2 linked regions of the Caenorhabditis elegans genome follow. The protein of the gene in region 1 interacts with the protein of each later gene in a pairwise test. Each region holds a gene or a part of one and is shown on either strand. Other genes may lie near its edges.

Region 1 (3,508 bases):
TTTTACAAATTTAATCATTGCGGGGAAGGGTCGATTCTTGGAGCGTTTTTCTTGGTTGTGCAACTAGTTATTATTATAGCAATACTTTTTGAAAAAATGTCACATTTCCGAAAAGAAAAATTGTGAAGAAAATAAATTTGGAATAATAGAAACTCTGATGGTCGTGAGAACTAATTCGGGGTGCCCAGAGGATTTTCATACTTATGATGTCTATGCCATTTGATGGTGACCCCTATTTTGAAACGGATTCTTAAGAATTTTCAGCTGTCATACTCCATATCCAAACCCAGGGTGATTTATCAAAATTGCTATAGAATTGAAACGGATGGTCAATTAAAAAAAAAGTGGTTCCAAAAATTTAAAACTATTTAAAATTGGAGGTTTGTATTTAATGAATTTGGTCTCGTTTTTCTAAAAACATAAGTTTTCAAATGGGAATAGCTTTACAAATCTTGTCTTGACAACTCATTGCGGACAGGCAAGAAATCAAATTATACTCAAAAACAAAGTTGTAGAACATACAGTGTGGCATACATTTGAACATAGTTTGAGCGGTTTTGTACGGTACTCCTTCTTTCGTAAATTTGATTTTGGAAAATTGTTTTGAAGATTTACTCTTCAGTGCTTAGTTATAATGCTATTTTCAGCAATTTTGAGATTTTGCTCTGGACTAGATTCTTGAGTTTGACACCTGAAAATTAATAAGAAACAGTTTCAAAGCGCTGACTATTGAATGACAAAACTTATATGCAAGTAATCTAGTTGCATATGATGATATTCAGTTTTCACATAATCTTCTAAAAAACATATTTTACTTTTGTAAAACTCGGTTGAAGGCAAACCCACATTCCGCAGACTTTTCCAAAAACAGCCCCCATAAACTTTGGTTCCATCTTTTCAGATATTACTACTTTTTCTGAACATTGTACTTCCTTTGCTCACTCCATTAATTTACATTCCTGTTATGATTGTTACGCGAAAAAATAGTCACCAACATTCTCAGCAACACATTTATCTACATGAGTACGTTTTTTTCCAGAGTTGTCTAGTTATGTTCTTCAAGTTGGTCAGTTTTGCACCTACATCATTGGTTTTTGAATTTTTGCTTTCAGGTCACGCTTCCATATTTTCTATCAAATTTAGAATACAATTGTGCATCGACTTCAATGCTATCAATGTCGTTAGCTGATGTTGTAACTACACCTTTGATAATTCAATTGTCGTACTTGAAGTGTAATATTCACGATGTGATTTGCCTCTTTTTTTCATTTGATATCCAGAAATATTTTAGAGTCGTTTTTGGTAATGTGGAAAATTCTGTGCATCCCAATTTGTCTCGCATCGCATTTTCGATTACCTAATTATATTACCGAAGCTACACCGGAAGTTTCTTTTTGGTATTGACAAATAAAATGAATACTGTACTTTGATATACACAATAAACGTATCTATAGAGACAATTCGATTTTGATTGAAGGTGGAGTACGGCCAGTTGCCAAGAATATAATATGAAATTATTTCTATGGCGCTAAAATGACCAGATAATAAATTTTTTCAAAAAATATTGGACAATTTTTTCAAACGGTATGAGATCTCAGTTTTCACCTATCTAATTATTGAAAATTCTCTTTCAGACACTACGACCTGTATCTACTAGCTTCTATTTTGCTCGGCAACTGGTGTCATCTACTTTTCGATTTATCTTTTTAATTTTGTTTCAGGAGAGTCTACTTTATCCTCTATTATGGATCACTGATGCCTTCTAGAATTCTCCAGCAGACCTACAAGCGGAGACTTAGACGAAAAAATAACTGCGTCTCACCAAAATATTTACTCTCTAGATTTTTGATGCATCGAAGTTGGCTCTCTGGTCGACGACAACAACACAACAGAAAATAACTCGAGAAGTCTAGAAAAGGAAAACAAAAACACAAAGTCTCGTATAAAAAGGGCGAGATTTTCAGGTTTTCACAAACCAACCCCAAAATTTCTATATCGTCTACTCAACTTTTTCAACGAAAAAAAAATGTCTGTCAGCCCATTCTTCAACCCAAAACGAGACTCTCAACTCGGTGAAATGATGAGAGATATGGGCGGAATGCAACGCCGGCTTATGCCAATTTCTGGAACTTTTAACCCAATGACCGATGATTCTGAGGTTGGTTTATTATTCTTCGCTTAGAATTTAAGATTTCAACTAAATCAGAAAAGTATGCTTTTTTATGAACTACAGTAATCCACTTTCATGGTTTTTTTTTCGATGCTTTTTAACTAAAAATCTAAACCATTACAAAAAACCGGGAGCGGATTACTGTAACTCTTAAAGGCGCACACCTTTTTGTGCGATTGTGAAATTTTTTGTTCGTGGCGAGAGTAAACATTGCCAACTTTCGCATTTGGATAATAAGAATCAAGCAACCTCATCTTGTAAACAACCAATGTTTCTGAAAAACTTTTAAAAAGAGGTGAAAAATGAAATTTCAAACTATTTTTATTTTCAGATAATGAATTCCAATGATAAATTTGCTGTAAATCTCAATGTCTCCAACTTCAAGCCAGAAGAGCTGAAAGTCAATCTGGAAGGAAGACAACTGTCAATTCAAGGAGAACATGACGTGGAGAATGAACATGGTGCATCGAGAAAGTCGTTCTCAAGAATGATTCTTCTTCCAGAAGATGTTGATATTACTTCAGTTGCAACTAATCTTTCGAATGATGGAAAACTTTGTATTGAAGCACCGAAATTGGAAGGTGTTTGTGGAAGATCAGTTCCAGTCAAAGAAGCCAGCATGGACCATCATCATATTGAATAAATACTTTTATTTTTTTTCTTTTTTGTGATCTCAAATTGAGAATCGAAATTGTAAATAAACAGACTCTTTTACTTTTTTTTAACTGCTTTGAAGTTCGAGAAAGAGAAATGTGCAATTAAACATCATTTTCTTATCTTTCAAATTTGGAGTTCACGTACGCTAAACATGGTGAGCAGCGGAACCCGCAAAATGTCGGAACACACGAGCACACCACTCCCTCCACCCCCCGTCTCATAAACTTACCTGGCTGGGGGTTATTTCGCGATCAAGAAGGCGGAATCCCCATGGTGAGGCCTACCCATTGCACTTTTGGGCGGGCTGACCTATGTGGCAGTCTCGAGTTGAGATTCGCCAACAGCTTAATTTTTGCGTATCGGGGCTGCGTGCGCGCGGCCCTGAAAAAAAGATATACATTAATGATTTTGAATCACTGCAACTAATTTTTGGAAGTTCTAATTCATATAATGTGCTCTGTGACTACTATCTTCCATTTTGCTCGGCAACTGATGCTATTTCAAGTTTACTTTTAACAGTTGGGAACATATTTTCAATTCAAGATAGCAAAGCTTTCGGATATTTCCCTTTTAACTGGCATTTTGAGAATATTATTATTTCCAGTACTGTTTCCATGTCTACATCATTTTGAACTACTGTCAAAGAGTTTATTACTTTGGAAAACATTTTTTATCTAGAAC
Region 2 (5,078 bases), 5.9 Mb from region 1:
AAATCCGGCTGGTCCATTTTTGACTAGAATTTCTAATTGATTCACAATTTTAAAATTAGATATGTTCATGAAAGAAAGTTTAATGAAAAAAGAATCTCCACAAAGTTGTATACTTTTTGCAATTTGCTATTTTGTTACGAATAGACCAGGAAATGTTATACAAACGATAAAAAATAAAGCACAAAATTCGAAATTTTAAGCAAGTTCTGAAAATTGCGTTCAAATGTTTCACAGAGCAGTTTTTTCATCAAAAGCTTAAATAGTTGCAAAATGTATGAAATTGTTTGAACTCAGAATTTAATTTCAAAAAAAGTTTTGTTCGCATTATGAGAGAAAGCTGTCAATTCTGACCCTTCTAATGTAGGTTTAATCTTTTTATAAATGTTCCTGAGCACTTTGGAACAAAAAACAAATTGCAAAATGTAGACGCAATTGTGGATATTGTTTTAATATTAAATGTTGTTTCATGAAAAAATTCCTGTCAAAATACAAACGCGCCGAATTTCAGCACCTAGAACATTTTTCTGAACATAGTTATACAAATTTGGCAACTTTGAAAGTGTAGATAAAGTAACCGTAAACATTTTGTTAAATAAAAATAATTTGCTAACTGTTATAGTTTTTGAGCTACACATGTTCGAAGAGCTGAAGCAAATCACCGAAAACTTGGAAATGAATAGAATATTGGCCGGCACTGTATGTAATAAATTCGCATTCCTACCGTATTTTTGTTTCTTTCGTGACGTAGGAGGCTCTTAACATTCAAATCCCGGTCATGAAACTGCAATACAATTGTCTCTCAATTTACACAAAGTCGAATAAAAATATTTGGCAAATCTTACTGCCAAGACAAATTTTTAAACTTACAGTAACATACAATTTGTCATCCACAACAACATAAGTGTAACATTTCTGTTGATCCCTGGCTTGTTTCAAGACATAATCAACAGACTCCCGATACTTCCAGTAGAACCTATCCCAATCCTGCAAAATTAATCAACTTTTAAAGCCAACTACTAGAAACATTTGTTTTAAATAGATATCTGACTCGAAGCCAAGCAAAAAGACGGAAAGTGGGTTTCATCATATTAAAACTTATCAAAATGAAACCCACTTTGTTTGAAATAGCCCATTCAACGTCTTCGTAGAATTTACCAACGTATCCAGTATAATTTCGGTGAGGATTAAGTAGATACTTCAAACATTCCATAAAGTTATGAGCGCAATATGTGACCGTGTAGTTCTACAAAATGTTTAAACTCTTGTGATTCCACAGAATTTGCACAGAAGTAACAATAAATGAATCTTCTGGTGAACAAGACTTAAACTAACTGAAAACTTGAAGTTACCTTTGGTAAATCGACAGTTTTTAAATTCTCTGATAGTTTTTTGAATTGGGCACTGTAGAAGTTATAGAATTTTCTATATTTACTCTGAAAAATTAGAAATTGAGTTATCACTTAATTTTTTCCTACTTTTTGGGAGCATTCATTGAAGAGTTGTATCATTTCCGGTGTAATATAAAAACAAGCGAAATCCATTCTGGGAATTTCACGAATTTAACTTGTAAGCACTGCGGAAAGTTATCAAGAAACAAAATGTCAACTGAACTGATGTGCTGAAAGAAAAAAACCAAAGGTTAACTTATTGCTAGGCCTATGTTGAAAATCGATCACTGATAACAGTTTGTTTGTGGAAACATTTTGGAGTGAGGAATCGTTCAATATAGTTTGTAATCAACCTATAGGTTGCAGAAATTGTATGAGGAGTGTTTTTATTTGAAAAAAAGTTTGCCGTACATTCACTAAAGTAAAAAAAAACATGAATTTTGATTTGAGTTGTGCTTTTTTTTCAATTGAGAGACTTTTAAGTCTGTCGATTAAAAAACTAATAAGAAATTCGTAACTTAAAATGAGTGAAGATCGCATAATAATAATTTTCCAATAATTCCAATACAAGAAGTCAGCTATGATCTTACAAAGGCCAGAAGCAGGATGTGAAAATTTTTCAGTTTTAGCAATCGTACAAACAAATTGAATACTCTTTACTTTCTGAGCGGTTAAAAACTGATAACAGAATAATGTACTAGGAATAGATATTTCAGTTTAACATCACTATTAATTCCTTAGATGTGAAAACTCCTCGTTTGGTTTTTCTGCATAAACATCAAACTCTTATCAGTAACTTCCAACATAGACATACATAGCAATACTTTTCGAGTCACAGTTTTGTAATTGACATATTTTTTCTTGCTCATTAAATTCTATTAATTCGATTTCATAATGGAAATTCCATCTTTTCATATTACACCAGATATGAGAAACTTATTCAGTGAATGTGTTAAAGAAGTAAGGTAGTTTCCAAATTGATGACTTAATTCTTAACTTTTTCAGGGAAGTTATAAACTTTTCTACGACTTATACAAGAGTGAGTTCGAAGATCTAGCCGTACATTTGAAAACTGTCAGACTACCGGAGGTAACTCAGCTTTTACGGCGCAGTTGATAAAAAGTAACGTTCAAGGACACCGTACTCCACTACTGCGTAAGCAACTTCATGGAATGCGTGGAATATTTAATTCATACTGGCCGCGGATACAACTATTATGGTCACGTTTTTAGCTTTTACAGGGATGTTGACTGGGCAATTTTAAATGGAGTGAGTTTAAATTAATTTGATTTACATTTGAGCCACTTTCTTATAAAAATACACATTAAAGGTGGACTACACCCTGTGGGGAAATTGCTTTAAAACATGCCTTTGGGGTCACAATGACCGAATATCATGATGAAAAAATTTTAATAAAATTTCTAGGTTTTAAATGATTTTTTGAAAATTGAGAAAATCTCAGTTTTCCCCTAATTCCTATTTGAATTTCCGCCAATTGAATTCGTTCGATGGAGCGCGCTTGCATTATTTTCATAATTTTTTTATTTTATATTCATTATTTCACTGAATTTCTTTATTTTTTGGGGGTTTTTCATCGGAAAATGAAAGAAATAAACAAGAAAGAAGCAAAATGTTTATTTGAAAGTAATTGAAAATGCCTTAAACTCTGAAATTATGCGATCCGACGACGATGAGCCTGAAATTAATATTATTCAGAGTTTTAGGCATTTTTAGTTACTTTTTAATAAACATTTTGCATTTTTCTTGTTTATTTCTTTCACTTTCCGGTAAAAAATCCCCAAAAAATGAAGAAAATCAGTGAAATAATGAAAATAAATAAAAAAATAATGAAAATAATGCAAGCGCGCTCCATCGAACAAATTCAATTGGCGGAAATTCAAATAGGAATTAGGGGAAAACTGAGATTTTCTCAATTTTCAAAAAATCATATAAAATCTAGAAAAATTTTTTACATTTTTTATCATGATATTCGGCCATTGTGACCCCAAAGGCATTTTTTAAAGCAATTTCCCCACAGGGTGTATGTAGTCCACCATTAAATAATGTTTGACTTCAGGATTGGAGCAGATTTTACTGGAAATTTCGCGACTCCGTAGATTATGTTATAAAGAAAGCAAGAGAGCAACGGAAAATTCAAATTTATGTTGTTGAAGGAAGTGCACGTTATTCTTCTGTAAGTCATGCCTAGTTCCCAAAGATTGAACGTTTCTGACTTATTTCATTGCAGTTCCGTAGCCGTGATCGCAAAAATCCCAAAGAAAATTCTCCAGAAACTCGAGGTATGGTTTAATTTTTTTTAAGTCTAAAAAAAATTCAGCACAACCCTCTGATAATCTAAAACTAGACGTCTTAGTATCAGAAAACTCTGATTTAGTCCAAAAACCAGTCCTGGAAGATTTTGAGAAAAAATCGCAAGAGCGGGAAAATCGAAGACGAGAGCTTGAAGAGGAGCTGAGGAAACTGGATCTAGAGGAAAAAGAGCAACTGGCTATGATTTCAAACTTCAAAAGCCCGGAGCCGGAACTTCAACCAATTTCCCCGCCACCCTCAATACATGATGACCTTATAAATGACATGGATGGCGGAATGTTTGGTTAGCTCACACTTTTGAAAAAAACAACTTGTTTAAAAAAAAGTTTGTAGGTTCTGAAAAAACTGACGATTCAAGTTTGGAAGACTTGCAGCTTCATGTACAAGAAATGGACAAGAATACTATGTTAACAGGTTAGTTAAATTTTTTATTATGTATAAACATGTGTATGTACAGAAAATTTCGATCAAGATCAAGAAGAACTGAAACTTTTTGTGCAAGAACTAGAGCAAAACGCTGCTGAAACAATTAACAATTCCTCTCACCAACTCGAAAATGCTCTGAAAGCTGAAGAAAATATTGAAACTGAAATCTCTGAAGAAGAAGCTAGCGACGATGAAGAGGAAGACAATTTCCACACAATGCTCCAAGAACAAGCTGCACGTCACAAGGAAGAAATGGAAAAAGTCATGAAAAAACGGGCGGAGCAGAAGAAAAAGCTTGAGGAGCTAAACAGAAAAGTTAATGCAATAGTTTTTTACAAATAACTTAAGTTAGGTATTGTGTTCTTAAATCCTCACAATAAATCTCTCACTTACTATATATTTCGAAAACTTGCTTATTCATTGCGAATTTCAATTTTTCATAAGAAAATCTGGTTCATAGAACTTTTAACCTTTTAACCGATGTCATTCTAAACACTTTTGGTATTTCATTGACAGGTTCTGAAATTTGTTAAATAATTTTAAAACTTTTTGAAAAATTTCGAAAATTTTTTTTGGAATTCTCTGAAACTTTTTAGAATTTTTAGAATTTACTTTTTAAAATCTGTATTTTTCTGAAATTATTTAAACACTTTCTGAAATGGCTCTTTTTGTAGAGTTTTCAGACCTTTTCTGGAATTTTCTGAGCAAACTTCTAATATTTCATTGAGTGTCTATTAAAATTATTTAAACAATCGATTCATTGACAAAAAATAAAAAAATATGAACAGATATTCTGTATGAGGTGTCTAAATAAATTTTAAAAATCAAATTAAAACTTGAGTAGATATCGTGTATGAGGTTTCACAACCCTTCCATCTTTAAAACCCGTTGCAGATAACTGGTACAAGGATTATTTCTGAAAAATAAAGAAAA

Evidence for each region.
Region 2: the proteins of hsp-16.21 (region 1) and K02E2.7 interact in a two-hybrid assay, tested with the Caenorhabditis elegans proteins (one large-scale study listed by BioGRID).

Annotation. Positions count from the first base shown.
Region 1 is NC_003283.11:14,462,893-14,466,400, reverse strand, and holds hsp-16.21 (SHSP domain-containing protein), read left to right. Parts: upstream 1-1,972; 5' UTR 1,973-2,026; coding exon 2,027-2,158; intron 2,159-2,501; coding exon 2,502-2,813; 3' UTR 2,814-2,881; downstream 2,882-3,508. Other genes in the region: srz-97 (Serpentine Receptor, class Z), read left to right, coding at 902-1,066, 1,113-1,247, 1,292-1,306.
Region 2 is NC_003283.11:20,384,178-20,389,255, reverse strand, and holds K02E2.7 (Cilia- and flagella-associated protein 251-like), read left to right. Parts: upstream 1-2,213; 5' UTR 2,214-2,282; coding exon 2,283-2,348; intron 2,349-2,393; coding exon 2,394-2,477; intron 2,478-2,522; coding exon 2,523-2,657; intron 2,658-3,465; coding exon 3,466-3,582; intron 3,583-3,636; coding exon 3,637-3,688; intron 3,689-3,783; coding exon 3,784-4,002; intron 4,003-4,052; coding exon 4,053-4,133; intron 4,134-4,176; coding exon 4,177-4,487; 3' UTR 4,488-4,526; downstream 4,527-5,078. Other genes in the region: F53H2.1 (SH2 domain-containing protein), read right to left, coding at 722-781, 868-984, 1,115-1,243, 1,350-1,433, 1,476-1,541; K02E2.11 (Phosphatidate cytidylyltransferase), read right to left, coding at 5,024-5,061.